Caenorhabditis elegans: one gene and its partner. The protein of the gene in region 1 interacts with the protein of each later gene in a pairwise test. Each region holds a gene or a part of one and is shown on either strand. Other genes may lie near its edges.

Region 1 (10,120 bases):
GTTTTTTGATATTTTGAGTCCCGCCACGAAAACTTCACGGTTACTGTAGTTTTTGGCATTGGTAGTATTTTTGATTAAAAATTCAAGTTTTTTTGCTTATTTTACGTTTAAAATTAACTTTAAATCTTTAAAATTGAAAAAGTTATGAATTTTTGAAATTTGCAAAAAATTAAAAAAAAAATGTTTTTTTGAAGTTTTGAGTCCCGCCACGAAATCTTCAGGGTTACTGTAGGTTTTGGCATTGGTAGTATTTTTATTCAAAAATTTAGGTTTTGTGCTTATTCTAAATCTAAATTTAGCTGAAAAAGCATGAAAATTTAAACAATTAAGAAATTTTGAAATAAAAAAAAAATTCCAAAAAAAATTTTTTTTCGAAAAATTTCAAAAATTTATAACTTTCCCAATTTTCAAGATTTTTTGCTTATTTTGAGTTTAAAATGAGCCAAAATCTGTGTATTCTTGGAAAATAAATTAATGACATCCTAAATTTTTCGTGGCGGGACCCCACAGTAATTTTTTTTTGAAAATTTAAAAGTTCTATAACTTTTCTGTTTTTTAAGGTTTCTGACTGATTTTTTGAATTTTACAAAACTTCATACAGAAATCAGTAGAAAATTATTGATTTTTAAGAAAAAAATTTTTTTGAAATTGTTTTTTTCAAAATTTTTTTCCAAAAAAAAAATTAATTAATTTCCAGTTTTTTTTTCCTATTTTTATCGTTATTTTTTCTGTTTCTCCATGCTGTTGACCACCCAAACAAGATCGACCAGTTTTTTTTGTCTTCACATTTTTCTGTTTGTTATCTCTGCGTCTCTGCGCTCTCTCCATCTCTCTCTCTTCTCCACAGGTATGCAGGTCTCGGGGACGGAAGCGTCATCTTTTTTCGTTCTTCTCTTTTTCACTTTTTATATTTTTATGTATTTATATATCATCGATTTTCTCGTGTTTTCCCGGAACGAATTTCTCATTTTATCCAAATTTTTAAGGACAAATCGATATTTTATCGAAAAATGCCTGAAAAATTGCGTTTAAATCAATGGAAAATCTGATTTTAAACCTTAAAATCAAGAAAAATAGCCTAAAACCGCAAATTTAAACCAGAAAAACAATTCCAATTCCCGCCGACCACGCCGCCCGATTAGCAATAGAGCGCGTTTTCTCCAGGCTATTGAAATTAGGTCAGAAATGTGTAAAATCGGCCAAAATCAAATGTTTTTGTGGAAAAATAGAGAAAAATCGATTTTCGCGATGAAAAATATCAAATTTTATCGATTTTCCAAGATTTTCGAAAATTTCAAACTTTTCCTTTAAAAAATTCGGAAAATTTGCTGAAAATCTACTTTCATCAAGAAAAATAGTCTAAAACTCATAATTTCCACAATAAAATTCAAATTCCCGCCAAACAATCCGCCCGTGCCGCCCTTATTAGCGGTAGAGCGCGTTTTCACCGCAGTTATCCGATTTTTAACGAAACATCGATATTTTCTTTTAATTTTCACTGTTGTTTATCATTTTTCACAACATAATAGCTTATAACACCGAAAAATCATTGAAATATTTTGGAAAATTCAAATTCCCGCGCTCCGCCGAGCAAATTGGCTATAGAGCGCGTTTGCAACAATTCCAAATTTTTTCTGTCATTTTATTGAAAAAATGTAGTTTTGCGGCATTTTAAATGTTAAAAGCAGGAAAATCCCCGAATTTAAAAAGTAATTTTAAATTCCCGCCAGCCAACAGTGCGGCGGTGGGGCGCACTTTCAATTTGGTTTTTCAAACGTTGAAAAAAACCCGCCAAAATGGGTGTTATTTTGAAGGACTCGGTGAGCTGAGTATGAATTTGAGCAGAAAATTTTTAAAAACAAATTATTTGAAAAAAAAATTCCGAAAAAAAGTTTGAAAAGAAGTTCAAAAAAAACTTTTTTTTGAATTTTTTTTTCGAAATTTCAAAAATTTTTTCCCAAAAAAAAAAGTTTCTTCTAATTTATTACTCCCTTAAACTGCCTAATTCATCAAAACTACCAAGTTATAATAAGAAAAAAAGAGTCTTGACCCTCATTTTCCTCCGATAATTGGAGTCCTTTTACTATGCCAAGGTCTTTTCTTTTCTGGAGAAGAACAATAAAAATAGAATTTATTTGGAAAATGTTTTGGGAACACTTTTCGTGATGAAAAAAAAAAATTATTTTATGGGAAAAAACGACATTTTGAGCAAAAAATAGCAGGTTTTTTTGGTAATTTTTGAATTTTTTTTTTGAAAATTTGAATTAATTGAGGCCAAAATCCAGGAAAAACAATGAGAAACTTGGAAAAATCGTTTTTTATTCAATTGTCACTCAAAAATTCAAATTCCCGCGGGCCTCCGCGCCGTTTAGCGATAGAGCACATTTTCATTGTCGCTGGTGTGCGGTAGGGCGCGTTTTCCACTAAATGTTTAATTTTCAAGTAAATCTACCGCAATTTGACCGGAAAAATCAGAAAAAAAATTGAAAACTCGTTAAACCGCGTTGAAATTCAAATTCCCGCCGACCAAGTGTGCGGTAGGGCGCGTTTTACGCAAAATTTCAAATTTTCGAGTTATTCAGCCGATATCAGGGTTATTTTGCAGCTTACAGTGAGGGGAATTCGATAAAAACCAGAACAAATTAGAAAAAATCGATAATCGACTTTAAAAAATCGATAAACTCAAGTTCCCACCTCCCCGGTGTGCGGTAGGGCGCGTTTACCGCAAAATTTTGAATTTTCGAGTAAACCAGCCGATATGGGGGTCATTTTGAAGCTCTCAGTAGGGCAAATTCAAAAAAACCTGGAAAAAATCGATATTTGCAAGAAAAATTATCGATTTTTTCAAAAATTTCGATACTTTTTTCACAGTTTTTTTGTTAAAATCCCCTCCTCTATCACCGGCAGACAGTACTAAAACAAATAACATTTCATATTGTTCTGCGTCTCTGCCTTTTCCGCCTTTTTGTCTTATTATGCATAATTGTGTAGCCGGGAGAGCGAGGCGGTGCCTCACCAAAACAGTCAAAAAGTCTGCGTCTCCACGGTTTTCTACACTATTTCTCACCCTCACTTTTCCCGTCAGCGTGTGAATAGAAAATGAGGCACTAGGCACATACGCTCTTCTGGTTGCTATTGGACACCTTCTTCCGACCCGAAAATCCGAAAATTTCGCAACATTTTTTTTTGCGAAATTTTTTATTCTTTTTCCTGAAAAACCTCGAGAAATCCCCCGTAATTTTCCTATAGTGGAAAATTTTATATTTTCTCGTTAAAAAAAATGGATAAGGTGTCCCATGTGCTCCGAAATGGGTGGAACTGGATAAAGCTTAAATTCTTGGCTCTTTGGCACTTTTTATTCCGCCGGAAGAGTGATGAACCCGAGTTTTATGATCCGGAAGGTAATATTTTGTTTTTCCGTGGTGAAAAGTTGGTTTAAATGGCAGAAATCCAGGAAAAAGTGAGGAAATTTGAGGCAAACGCGCTCTAATGAGAAATTGGCGCTGGGCGGCGGGAATTTGAATTTTTTAGCAGAAATTTGAGGGAAAATGGGGTTTAGAGCAGTTTTCATTGATATAAATAAGTTTCCGGTAGAAATTTTGAAAATTTTTTAAATTTTTAACCGAAATTTCGAGTTTTTAAATTTTCGGCATTTTTTCTGTTTTTTTTTATTTTAAGAAGGAAATCATTTATTTTTTATGTAATCCCTATAAAAATTACAGAAAAATTCAGTTTTTGAGCAGATTTTTAATAAAAATATGTAAAAACCCTGTGAAAAATAAAAAGAAAAAAAGTTTGCGCGTAAGATCTGGTGTTTTCAAGATTTTCAGTCATTTTTAAAAGGAAATCTCAATTTTTCTTGCATTTTTCACATGAAAATCAATATATTCAACTGATTTTCACAATTTTTTAGCTTAAAACTGACAATTTTCACTTTAAAATCTACTTAAAACCTGCAAAATCCTGCTTTCTACCGTACCCCTCAACTGTCGTAAAATTCGGTGTTCGCAGAGTACACAACTTTCAGAATGGAGGGTTACGGTGGTTTTTGGTCATTTTTTGATGAATTTTCTGCGGGAAAACCGGTTTTTTGGTGGTTTTTGTTGTTGAGAATCTGAAAATTTGCATAAATTTCCATTTTTAACGCTAAATTTTGCAATTTCCCGGATATTTTCTAGCCAAAAATTGAGAAATTCCCCAATTTTCGTCGATTTCCCCCGGGTTTTCCCCCTAAAACTCGAATTTTCAGCCATGGCATCGAAAAAAGCAAGCGGAACACTGCCGCCGCAACAACAAGTCGTCCATAAAGTGAGTTTTTGCCCTGAAAATTCGAAAAAATTGAATTTTTTCCCAAAAAAACTGAAAAAATCAATAAAATTGCAGGTTATTATGGTCGGAACCGGAGGTGTCGGAAAATCGGCTCTCACTTTGCAGTTCATGTATGATGAGGTGCGGAATTTGGCGAAAAACGAGAAAAGAACAATTTTTTCTGAAAAATTCCGAAAAAAACCTAAAAATCGATGTTTCAAGAAGAAAACACCGGAAATTCCGATTTTTCCGAAGAATCTAGACGAAAATCCCGGAATTTTTGCAAATTTGCATGCAAAGACTCTAAAAACGTCGTTTTTCTCAAATTTTATGTTAAAAATCCGAAGTTTTGCGATGTTCCCGAATTTTATGTCGAAAAATCTCAATTTGTACCTTTTTTAGGCCGAATTTTGTGCATTTTTTGCCAAAAACCCCAAAAAAATTCGAGTTTTGGGTATTTTACGTCAGAAAGCCTGAAAAATTCCATTTTCCCCGAATTTTATGTCAAAAAATCCAAAAATAATCCGATTTTCGAGTTTTTTTCACTCAAAAGCTCTAAAAATGCCAATTTTCCCGAATTTTAAGGCAAAAAAATCCCAATTTTGCAAATTTAATGTAAAAAATTCCGATATTTCCGTTTTCTACTTTAAATCACTGAAAAATTCCAATTTTTTGCGAGTTTTATGTCAAAAAACCCCAAAAAATCTTCATTTTTCCATTTTTCTACCCAAAAACTATGAAAAATTCTGATTTTACCGAATTTTATGTCGAAAAATCACAAAAATTCCACTTTTCACGTTTTTTATGAAAAAAAAATCCAATTTTTGGGAATTTTATGCCAAAAAATTCAAAATTTTGCCTTTTTCATATCCAAAACCCCCGAAAAATTCCAATTTTCCAAAAATTTTATTAAAAAAATACCTATTTTCGCCTTTTTTATGTCGAAAAACCCCCAAAAAATTCCAATTTTCACGAATTTTATGTCAAAAAATCCCAATTTTTTCATTTTTCTACCAAAAATACGTTGAAAAGTTCTGATTTTCCCGAATTTTATGTCAAAAAACCCCAAAAATCACAATTTTCACTCAAAAATTCCAATTTTCTCGGATTTTTTAATCTAAAAACCGAATTTATCCTTTTTTTTTGCAGTTTGTGGAGGAATATGAGCCAACAAAAGCGGATTCGTATCGTAAAAAAGTGGTTTTAGACGGTGAAGAATGCTCAATTGATATTCTTGATACGGCTGGACAAGAAGATTATTCTGCAATTCGGTAAGCACTGGAAATTGGCGAAAAATCGCTGAAAAATCGAAAAAATCACGAAATTTGGATGTTTTTCATCAAATTTTAGAGAAAAATTGCCAAAAATCGGCTTATTTTTCGTTATTTTCAGCAAAAGTCGTCATTTTAAGCCGATTTTTTGGGATTTTCCGGAAAAATCGGAGGTTTTGAGCCGGTTTTTGAACTTTTTTTCCCACCAAAGACTAAATTTTAAGGAATTTTTTGTTTTTTCACGCGAAAAGAGCCAAAAAATCGTAATTTTAACTGATTTTTCCCCAATTTTTTCAATTTTTCAGTGATAATTACTATCGAAGTGGTGAGGGATTTATTTGTGTCTTTTCGATTTTGGATATGGAATCATTTGAGGCTACAAACGAGTTTCGGTAAGTTTTTTCGACATTTTGACTGGAAAAATGAAGAAAAATTGATTTTTTCACCCTAAAACATTGAAATTTTCAGTTTTTTCTCGAAAAATTGGACAAAAATCGATAATTTTTAATGAATTTTCAGTTTTTTTTTTTGGCTGAAATTTGACAAAAAAAGGAGGAATTTCAAGAAAATAGGGCAATTTTCGATAATTTCCACCTAAAAATTCCTAATTTTGACCGATTTTAAGCGAAAAATTTGAAAAATACACCAAATTTCTGCTAATTTTGCCATTTTCGAGCAAAAAAGTAATGAAAAATGCGAATTTTGGTCACTTTTAACTGGAATTTGGTTGAAAATAGCAAAATTTCGACCAAAAAAGTCCTGAAAATGCGAAAAAATTGATTTTTGGTCAGTTTTAACCCGAATTCCATGAAATTTTCAATAAAAATGTAAAAATTTGCTCGTTTTTAGCAAAAAAAGATTCCAAACTGAATAAAACACTTTTTCGTGCTAAAAAATGCCAAAAAAATGTCAGATTTTCGATGAATTTTACTGAAAATATGCAAATTTCTGAAATTTTCTGGCAAAAACTCCAATTTTGGTTCATTTTAACCCTAAATTTACTAAATTTTGACTAAAAACTGTCAATTTTTGCCTATTTTAGACCGAAAAACCCCGATTTCGGGCATTTTTCACCCATATTTCGTAAAATTTTCACTCAAAAATGTCCAAATTTGCCTATTTTCGGTCAAAAAACTCGGATTTTGGCCCATCTTAACCCTAAACTCACGAAATTTTCGCTTAAAAATGTCTAAATTTGCACATTTTTGTCTTTCAAAATTAGTAAAAACTCGAAAAATTGTCAATTTTTACCCAATTTTCATGAAATTTCTCCTCAAAACTTTCAAAATTGCGTATTTTTGTTTAAAAAAACTCGTAATTTGGTCCATTTTAAGCCTAAACTTACAAAATTTCGACTTAAAAATGTCAAATTAAGCCTATCTTAGGCCGAAAAACTTGAAAAATGGTCAATTTTAACGCGAATTTTGTGAAATTTTCACTAAAAACGGCCAAAATTTGCCTATTTTCGGTTGAAAAAACTCTAAATTTCAAGAAAATTTCACTTTTTCACACAAAAATCTCAAAATTCGCCTATTTTAGACCGAAAAACTTTTTAAAAAGGTCGGTTTTAACCCAATTTTCATGAAAACTTTCAAATTTTACGCTCTATAGACCCGAAAACTCGGATTTTAGTCAATTTTCACCCCAAATTTGCCAAATTTTCATTAAAAACTTACAAAATTTGCCTATTTTTGTTCAAAAAACTAGGATTTTGGTCCATTTTCACCCAAATTTCATCAAATTTTCACTAAAAACTTTCAAATTTTGCCTATTTTAGGCCGAAAAACCCCGATTTTGGGCAATTTTCACCCAAATTTCATGAAATTTTCACTCAAAAATGTCAAATTTTGCCTATTTTAAGCCGAAAAACTTGAAAAATGGGAAATTTTAACCCGAATTTTGTGAAATTTTCACTAAAAACGGCCAAAATTTGCCTATTTTAGGCCGAAAAGCTTCGATTTTTAGACAATTTAGGCCCAAAACCCCCGTTATTTCTTGCAGCGAACAAATTCTTCGTGTCAAAAATTCGGATTCATCAGTTCCAATTGTATTGGTTGGAAATAAGGGTGATATGCGTGATCAACGTGTTGTATCAGCTGAATTATGTCGACAACGTGCTGAACAATGGGGATGTCATTATGTTGAGACATCGGCTAAAAGACGTGAAAATGTTGATAAGGTATTGGGAAGAGATTTTAGGCTGAAAATTTGGAAAATTCGGCGAATTTCAGCCGGAAAATTGGAAAAATTGGAGAAAATAGTCAAAATTGGCGGAATTTTGAGCTGAAAAGCGAAAAATTCAAATTTTTGACACAAATGTCTCCAATTTTCAGCAGGAAATAAGTTTTCGGCTGAAAATCTGTGAAATTCAGCGATTTTTGAGCTAAAAAATCCTAAAACTTTGATTTTTTCAGTTAAAAAATCATAAAATTCCACTTTAAAGTTGAAAAATCAAGAAATTCGATTTTTTCCATCTAAACAATCATAAAATTTCAAGTTTTCATCAAAAAATTCATAAAAATTCGATCTTTTCGTGTAAAAAATAACAAAAAAAAACATATTTAATTTTCACATGAAAAATCAAAAAATGGCCTTTTTTTAGTTAAAAAACAATTTTTTTTGCTGATTTTAAGAGCTTTCATGACAAATTCCCTGAAAATTTTAAAAATTTCACTTTCTGAGCCCGGAAAATTCATTTTGAGCTAATAATTGTGCTCATTTTGGAGAATTTCAATTTTTCAGTCAAAAAAATATAAAAAATTTCGATTTTTTCAGTTAAAAACTCAAAAAATTCAATTTTTCAGCTAAAAACCTACTAAAATTTTAATTTTTCCTGTGAAAAAAAAGGTACGGGAGGATTTTAGGCTGAAAATTTGGAAAATTCGGCGAATTTCAGCCGGAAAATTGGAAACATCCAACGTTTTTAGGCTAAAAATCGAGAAAATTGGAGAAAATAGTGGAATTTTGAGTTGAATAGTGAAAAATTCGTCGTTTTTAGATTAAAAATTCGAATTTTTAATGAAAATTTGTGAAAAATTTCAAAATTGTATGGATTTTGTGCAATTTTTAGCCAAAAATAGTCAATTTACTCCGTTTTTTTTTCACTAAAAATTTCCGAAATATGCCATTTTCCAGTTTTTTTTATCTAAAAATCCCCAAAATTTCAATTTTGTAAAGTCAAAAAAATCGATTTTTAGTTTGGAAAATCGCAAAATTTCGTTTTTTTTCAGTTAAAAACTCTAAAATTTCAATTTTTAGTCCAAAAAATTATAAAATTTCAATTTTTTAGTTCAAAAAATCATAAAATTTCAATTTTTAGTCCAAAAAATTTCAATTTTTTAGTCCAAAAATCGTAAAATTTCAATTTTCCGGTGAAAAATTATGAATTTACAATTTTTCCCAGTAAAAACTCTCATTAAAAAAATCGTTTTTTTTTTCAGTTAAAAACTCCTAAAATCCCCAAATTTTTTTGCAGGTATTCTACGATTTGATGCGTGAAATGAAGCGTCGAAAGGGTGGCTCACAGGCTCAAACAGGAATCGACGCGTCGGCGAGCTCCGGCCGTAAAAAGCGATCCGGAATCAAGAAGCATTGCACAATTCTTTAAATTTTCAGTTTTTTTCTCCAATTTTTTTTTGAAATTTCCGTGTGCAATTTGCCTTATTTCCCGCCTCGCCGCCTAAAATTTTAATTTTTTTGCGATTTTATATATTTTTCCTTCTTTTTAATTTTTTAATTTTAAATTTTTATCCCTATCCGCGCCATCCGGGTCATCCAAAACCGCCTACAATTCACATGAAAAATTAATTTTTTTTCCGAAATTTTTTTTATTTTTTTTTTTAAATATTTAGTAAAATGTATATGAGAGAGGAGAGATTCAGAGAAAAGGGGGAACATTTTTTGGAAATAAAAAAAAAATAAATAAATTAAAGTACTGTTGGAGCTGATTTGGATGGGAATTGGTAAGAAAACAAGAGAAAAAAGGGAAAATTACAACAAAAATGGATAAAAAAATCAATAATTCTTTTAGACATGTTATTATCACACACAAAAAATTGAAAATTTTAATTAAAAAATAGAGAGAAATCGAGAAAATCATGGGGAAATGTGTTGGAATTTTTTGATGGATGGAAAATTTTTAGGAATGGAAAAAGTGCTGGAAATGGTGGAAATGTGGCTTGAAAATGGATTTTTCAGGGTTTTATTGAGGAAAAACAGCTGAAAATCGGATATTTTGGGAATTTTTAAGGAAATTTTTGCACAATTCTTCGGCTCAAAATGAATTTTCAGAGATTAAAAAGTGGAATTTTTGAAAATTTTAAAGCATTTGGCAATAAAAAGCATTGAAATCGGCAAAAAAAATGAGCGAAAATGAGCAATTTTCAGGATTTTCTCAAAAATGAGCCCAATTTTCGCCAAAAATTCATAGAAACGTCAATTTTTTGATCAAAATGTGCAATTTTCCGAATTTTTCTGGAAATCGCGCACAATTTTCGGCTCATAGCTGGAATTATAGAGATTTTCTTTCAAAAAAACCTGAA
Region 2 (7,628 bases), on another chromosome or scaffold:
GATGAGTTCAGAAAGTTGTGCTCAGAGCGAGCCAACTCCTCGTCGTGCGCTGGAATAAGTTTCGAGACGAGCCCAATCAAATGGCCTGGAGAGGCAGAAAAGACATCAGAGAAGGCGTCGGAACCACCGAGTGTCGTTGCCAGTACGTATCCACAACAGACAAACGGGAATCAGGCTTTTCTAGAACAGGAAGAAGGAGACGGGGAGTGGGTGTGGCCAACTGTGCCACCACTCGGGGAAACCGAAGTTGTCACTCAGACTGGACATCGTCCGGAAAATAACTGGGTTGACGAGACGGCACCTGACTTTTCACATTTAGGTAATAAAGCTGGACATGATAGGTGGGATTGCAGCCACCATCAAGTCTGTAGATTGTTGCACGTCGGTTTCCCTTTCCGATTTCCTGGAGTAAGCCATCCCACCTATGTTGAACCAATTTTATTACTCAATTTAAAATCAATGTTTTCAGACATGGCACCCCCAAAGGAAGACGATATGTGGGCCGATTTCTCCTCGTTCCCAACCATCAGTCCGACTGCAGCTGCAAACTCGGCGTCGTCCAGTAGCTCCGATGCGTGGCCTGGATCAGACATTCATCTTCAAGGGGAAGCGTCGGATTGGCCGTTGAACAACTCGCACGAATCGAAAGCATCCGACCCGGTAATGGTTGGACTTGCTGCGAGTATATCCCATCCTGGAGACAGCAGCGAGGCTTGAAGCCCTTGCAACTCGTGTCATCCCCAATTCGTTTCACATCCCAATTATTTTCTACATTTTTCTGTTTATAGTCTTGTATGCAATTCACTTCGAACTTCCCCCTCATTTTCAACCAGAATTCCAAAATTTTTCTGTGTGTGTGTGTTTCTTGCAAATTTCACTTATTAATTTATCAATCTCGATTTTGCGGTTCTTTCCCATTCTCCATTCGTTGTTCATGTTTCCCCATATTCCCACCGACTTTAAAACCGTTGCATCCGATGCACTTAGAATTTTGTTTCCGAATTTTCCGTGGCTTCTCATCTTTGCTGGTTTCTTCTAAAGAACATTATCTTATCATTTAAAAAAAGTGAGCGCCCCCAGTGATAAGAAGCACGGCTTATTTGTTACTTCTTCTAATACATAATATATGATTCTCGGGCAACTTTTAATTTGGTCCAATCTTTTCCCCCTCTACTCTTTTTCTTGTTTAGGTGGTTATTGAAATTCAATTATTCTGATTTCACCTTCATTGATTGTTTATCTCGTGTTAGTGAGTATCAGATTTTCCATTCCATCCTATTTCACAATTCGTTGCATTCAATAATAACTTCCCACTATTTCTTGTATTTCTTCCTCTTTCATGAGTTTATAAATTCTTTTTAAAAAATTATAGCTTGATTGAAAATTTGGATGTTTTATGATCATTGTTCTAATATCTTAGTTTTGTTTCAAAGATCTTCAGAAAAAAACATAATTTATTTTCAGAAAAGATGTCTTCAAAACGAAAAGTTCTTCTGATGGGCAAAAGTGGATCCGGCAAGACTTCGATGCGTTCGATCATATTTGCCAACTACATCGCCAGGGATTGTTCGCGTCTCGGGCCAACAATCGAAGTTGAGCATGCTCATGTCAAGTAAGGGATCAATTCTGGATCAATTATCAAAAGAACACAATTTTTCCTTTTCCAGGTTCCTCGGAAACATGGTTCTTCACTTGTGGGATTGTGGTGGTCAGGAATCATTCATGGAGAACTTCCTCGTCTCGCAAAAGGATCAGATCTTCAAGAATGTTCAAGTGCTCATATACGTATTCGACGTGGAAAGCCGAGAGTTCGAGAAAGATCTCAGATATTACCAGTCTTGTCTCGAAGCTCTTCTCCAAAATTCACCGAATGCTCAAGTCTTCTGTCTCATTCACAAAATGGATCTGATCGAGGAGGACAAACGTGAAGAGACGTTCAAACGTCGTGAAGCAGATGTACTGCGATACAGTGAACTTGCAGCGACTCCACTTCAGAATGAACGGACGAACGCTGTTTGTCAATGCTTCAAGAGCAGTATTTGGGATGAGACACTCTACAAAGCGTGGTCCGCGATAGTCTATCATCTGGTGCCAAACGTCGGAACCATGGAGGACAAGCTGAAGAAGTTCGGAGCTATTTTGGATGCCGATGAAGTTATTCTATTCGAGAGAGCGACGTTCCTGGTTATTGCGCATGCTGTTCTCCGAGAGCATAAGGATCCACATCGATTCGAGAAGGTTTCAAACATCATAAAGCAATTCAAGCTTTCATGCACGTAAGTTACATCGAAACAGATTAATTCAAGCTTCATCTTCCTTTCAGAAAAATGGGGTCCAAGTTGGATTCGATTCAAGTCCGAAACAGTCAATTCTCCGCATTCATCGACTCGTTCACCCAGAACACTTATGTTATGGTAAAATCTCAAATAAAATGTATTTTAAAACACTATTTTATTTTGTTCAGATCGTGATACCCGACGGCAACGCATCGGCTCCAATGATCACAATGAACGTGAAGAACGCGAGGAAGGTGTTCGAGGCGATCGAGACGAAAAGCTAGACGAATTTGAATATTTCACCGAGTTCTTGCCCCGCATTCCAGTTATTTTCGTTTAGTTACCATCCCATATCCCATGTTGCTGTATTATAATGCTAAACTGATTTATTTAAATCCAACTGCAAAATTGTTCAACTCTATATTTTTCACTATATTTCGTAATTCACCGCTTAGATTTTCCGTTTCGCCAGTGCTTTTGCGAAGTTTTTCGTTTTTTTTGTTTAATTCTCCCCGTACCATCCAAATCCGATTCTTTGCGATAGTCATCATCGAAAAAACCTATCGTTCGTGTTCTTGTTCTGTATTTGTATATGAATTGTGCTATATTTTCATTTGGAATTTAACTGATATTTTCTCGTTTAATTAGTAATTTGTTATCAACAAGTCTGCCTATTTTAATCTATGTTTAAAAAAGTATAAAATTTCAATATAAATTCAGATGGAGGTGGCTGCTGCGGTCGGTGTGATCGCTTCAGTTCCGATCCTTTATAAGGCTATAAGGTAATGTTTTTCTTCTTAATTTGCAAAAAATTAATAATTATACATATTTTCAGACCTCGGATAAAGACATCGGTGGAGTGCTGGTTTTGCCGCAAAAGCACGAAGGTCGAATACCAGCAAAGGAATAGCTTCACCTGCCCGTCATGCGAACAATACAACGGATTCACCGAAGACGGAGACTATAACCGTCGGATTCCTGGACAAGCGTGGACTACACCCAAGAGATATTGTGAGCCGGGGAAAATGCAGTCAGAGAAGCCGAGCACATTTTTGGATCGATTTGGCGGGGTGAACATGAGTCCTAGTGAGTTTAATATCCTTTTTTTATAATTTATGAGTTAAATTAAAATTCCAGAAGCTTCTAACGGTCTCTGCTCGGAATGCAACCTCGGCCAGGAGATCATAATGAACAAGGTCGCAGAATTCGAGCCCATTGATGAGGATCGATGGAACGAAGAGCTCGAGGATTATCGATACAAACTGGAAAGAATGTACCAGCTGTGTCCGAGATGTACAATTCAAGTTCATGGAAAGCTGGAGGAGGATAAGAAGAAATACTCATATCTTCTGAAAGTGAAATATAAGCTGAAACATGCAATTGGATCTACTCTACGAGAAGTGATGAACAATCAGAAACGATCGCGGAGATTCTTCTTCGCCGGTGGAAGTACATGTGAAGCTCTTCATTTTGGATGCCTCATCTCTTCAATTATTCTCTTTTTGGCGAATATCGACTTCTTACAGCAAGATGCAGGAGCATCGCTGATCAATTTGCCAAAGGCTCTTCAAGATATTCTGCCAGAAGTTTATAAATATTCCTTCGTCATCAATTTTCTGATCTTCACTACACATTTGATTGCTGCATTTAATAATAAGTAAGTTTCATTCTACAATACAAAAAAACTGTAATTTTAATTTCAGATGCCGAGTTACTCTTCCCGACCTGCTGCTGCCCATCCTTCTGATCCTCGCAATGCTAACAGTTTTGACTTCAAGTGATGTGAGTTTCAAAATATACCCTTTGCAAGTTTTACACCTCTTTTTTTCAGAATTTATCACAAGATGTCGCTCTTGTCAGAGGTGCATGTGCTTCGTTTTCAACGATCCTTTCAATGGCAGTGACACTTCTTCCAAGGAAAAAGCTGCATAAGAAACGACCGAATAAGATTGTTTCAAGGTTAAATAAATATTTTATTTTTAAAAATTCCTTCAACTTTTTCAATTTTCAGTGCCTTCTCTGTTGCGTCAACTCCGATCTCTCAATGCTCTTCACAAAACAGTCGAAACGCTTCACTTCTCGATCATGACCACACGATTCTTCGAAGATCTCCACATACGCCATCAGCAAGCCCTCCAGCAATGAATTCCTCTCCACCATTGCTCCGTGAAATAACAAATGGTCCAGTGTGGTCTGCAATGAGAAGTCGGGAGAACAAGGAAAATATGCAAAGTTATCAGACTAAACCTAACAATCACGTGGAATCAATGGATTGGGATGATAGTGAATCGATGGCGGCTCAATCGGTTGCTCAATCAACTCGTTCCAGTCATTTCAAGCCAGGACTTTTATCCAGAAATATCAATGAAAGAATGACTGCTCAACAGCTTACACCCTCCGTGGCAAATTTGAATCTTGATACGAGATCTGTCGATTCTCCAAGTATATTCTCAAGACAACACCGGCAAATGGCTCAGCAACAGAATCACACACCGACTAGATCATTGTTCGGGCCACCACGATCTATGGTAGCTTCACAATACGACAGGAGCCACTACATGGCACCGGAAGCACAGTAAGATTTGTTGAAACTGAAATATTTATTAAAACTTAACCCTTTAATCTTGAACAATCAGTTATTTTTTGTTTAGAATGATAATTAGAGAAGCAATAGTGTGATAGCATTTGTGCAGGATAATTGTATATTAGACTTTTAAAAACTTAGAACTGATTGGACGTTGGACTTTGATAAATAATATGTGGAATTTTGGTTAGACCTTTCAAGTCACAGGTCACGTAAGCTCAGATGAAAACTAAAATTAATTTAAAAAGAATTGAAAATTCCGTTATTATTCAATTTAGATTTAAAATTTGAAGATTAGATTTTCGTTTCGAGACCGTGGTTACGGTATTTTGGAGCCAATAATATTTTGCAAGAACCAGCATTTATTGAAAAGATTGACTAAATTCTGTTTGGTTTTTCTACGTTTTTCCTTCTATTAACCTTCAAGATTCCCATCAATTTTATTTATTTACAGCACTCGACCCGGTTCAGTGTTCACATCGGTCTCGCAACAAGACGGACACTCAACGGTCAGCGGCGCGTGGCAGTGTCGCGTCATCGGCATCCTCTTCGCGCTGGTTTTTATCGTACTCATCATGCAGATCGGACTGTTCTACGTTCTTTTCACCCGCAATTGATTCGACCTTATTATATATGTTGTTTTCTATGTTTCATCTCTCTCCTCATCATGCCCTATTCACATTTTTGTTGTTTGATCCTGTGTGATATTAGTTTCAAGTTATTTGGGTTCCCAGTGCTCTTTTACTATTTGATGTGTGTCTAGCTCGTTTTGTTGAATTTATTCTTTCAAATATGCCCCTTTTCACCCTCTCTGATGATCTCACTTCGTTGTTAAATACCTTACTACTTCAATTTCTACTACATGAAACCCATCTACATATACATCTCTCTCCAGTACAAGTCTATTGACAAAATGAATAATTCCCGAGAAAAAAGAACGCGCAAAAGATGAGAAATGGATTGCAACAACATCAACAAACAAGGCAGCTTCCCCATCCCGCCTGCTGCGCACCACACAATTGCTCCACTCCTGCGCTTCTCCCGGATTGCACACTGTCTGGGAGTGGTCGAATCTCTGCGTCTCGCCAATTCACACACTCTTCGTGTCCTCTGTTTGTCCGCCTGACCTCACTTTAGTAGATGTCTCTTTTGAATACCAGTTTTCTATGCCCAAAATTGGGAAAACTTTGAAATTGGCAAATTGTAAGGTTTTTCACAAAACTTAAAAAACACTTCTATATTTACTGCTAATCAAATAAAAAAATCTTAAAAACCACCGGTGGCGTAGTGGTTAATTATTTTGCTGCCGCTCAGACGACGCCAGTTCGACTTTTACCATCTTCTGCCACAATTACGGTTACTCGTATTCATCTTCTCACAATTATCCACACCGTCATTTGTTCCTTTTCTCTTCCGTATCTCATATTTTCCTCCCTTTTCTTCTCATATTTCATTCACTTGTGATCCTCCCTTCCTCTTTTCAATGGACGAGTCTTGCAGCAAAAACCAAAACTCTTATGAATTTTTCATGCCATATCCCTTTTAAATAGCTCAATTCTCGGAAGAAACCGTGTGTATGTACTTATGCTGCTGACTTTGACTTTAAATTTGTACTTTTGAATATGGAATGTATGATGATTTCAGATCAAAACTGTATGTGCACATGCTTCGGTCCGTTGTAAATAATAATGATAAAGCTAAAGGTGAGTTTTCAAATTTTTAATTTTTGTTTTTATTAAACAACAGGAAAAATTTTAAAGGTTGTGTCAAAACTGTCAGGCATTTTGACTTTTCTAGGCCACTGACCATATTAAATGGTTGAGAAAACATATATATATAAAAGTTAGATTGAAAAAGAAAGTTTTAGTGAGTTGCCTAATTTTCCAAAACGTTTTTGTAAATTGCCAAATTTTTGCCGATATTTTGGCAAATTGCCAATATTTCTAGCAGGGATTTGGTAAACTGCCAATTTTCCAAAACAAATTGGCAAATATTTTAAAAGTGAGGACTATTTGGGTAATGTCGAGAATGTCTGCAAATTTGAACCCATTAGAATGATTATATGATAACAATTTATACATGGTAAAATACAAAACTCGTAGAAAAAAAGAAATTTTTTGTTCAACTTCCAAAATTATGATCATTTTTTGACTGTAAATAACAATATTTGAAAAATTTGTTGAAAAGTTTTGCTAAATTATTTTGGGCATCTTAGACGTCTGTCGACACCATGACTATAACTACAACTACTACAACTACAACTATAACTACAACTATAACTATAACTATAACTACTATAACTTACTTATGTTAGACACTATGGACACTATAACCGGTTTTAACAATTTTTCGACTTACGATACTCCTTCCAATTCTCAACTGCGGTCCTGACATTATCTGTTCAAAAAACGAATCATAAACTGGAACTCCACCAATTTCCAACTTTAAAGTTTATCAACAAAAAAACAGTAGCTCAGATCTATATCAAAAATTGCACGCGATGAGTTTCTGCACAACGAGCACGTTTCGTTTACAACATTTCACTCTCCTCATTTTTTATTGACAATCAGTTGAAAGTGAAGTGACAAGAGAGAAAAGAGAACACTCTTTCTGTGTGGGGCAAAAGATAGCAAAAAGCCTATAGATATCAGTGAAAGCAAAGAAAAAAGAAGAAGAAGTTTTCAGAGAGTGAACAAAGTGTCCGTGTGGCGACTGACGACCCAACCTACCAATCATACGCCTTCCAACCGTCGACATCTTCATCTAAC

What was found.
Region 2: the proteins of ral-1 (region 1) and samp-1 interact in a two-hybrid assay, tested with the Caenorhabditis elegans proteins (one large-scale study listed by BioGRID).

Annotation. Positions count from the first base shown.
Region 1 is NC_003281.10:3,308,317-3,318,436, forward strand, and holds ral-1 (small monomeric GTPase), read left to right. Parts: upstream 1-2,993; 5' UTR 2,994-3,280; coding exon 3,281-3,401; intron 3,402-4,249; coding exon 4,250-4,308; intron 4,309-4,383; coding exon 4,384-4,449; intron 4,450-5,457; coding exon 5,458-5,579; intron 5,580-5,884; coding exon 5,885-5,971; intron 5,972-7,580; coding exon 7,581-7,758; intron 7,759-9,054; coding exon 9,055-9,186; 3' UTR 9,187-9,400; downstream 9,401-10,120.
Region 2 is NC_003280.10:11,299,895-11,307,522, forward strand, and holds samp-1 (Transmembrane protein 201 homolog), read left to right. Parts: upstream 1-2,996; coding exon 2,997-3,058; intron 3,059-3,111; coding exon 3,112-3,362; intron 3,363-3,413; coding exon 3,414-3,933; intron 3,934-3,979; coding exon 3,980-4,058; intron 4,059-4,107; coding exon 4,108-4,235; intron 4,236-4,287; coding exon 4,288-4,851; intron 4,852-5,314; coding exon 5,315-5,477; 3' UTR 5,478-5,792; downstream 5,793-7,628. Other genes in the region: saps-1 (Serine/threonine-protein phosphatase 6 regulatory subunit), read left to right, coding at 1-319, 470-717; raga-1 (GTP-binding protein), read left to right, coding at 1,470-1,612, 1,668-2,276, 2,324-2,414, 2,465-2,560; rsf-1 (Ras association domain-containing protein 1 homolog), read left to right, coding at 6,524-6,563, 7,546-7,628. UniProt on the Caenorhabditis elegans protein: Plays a role in nuclear migration in hypodermal cells.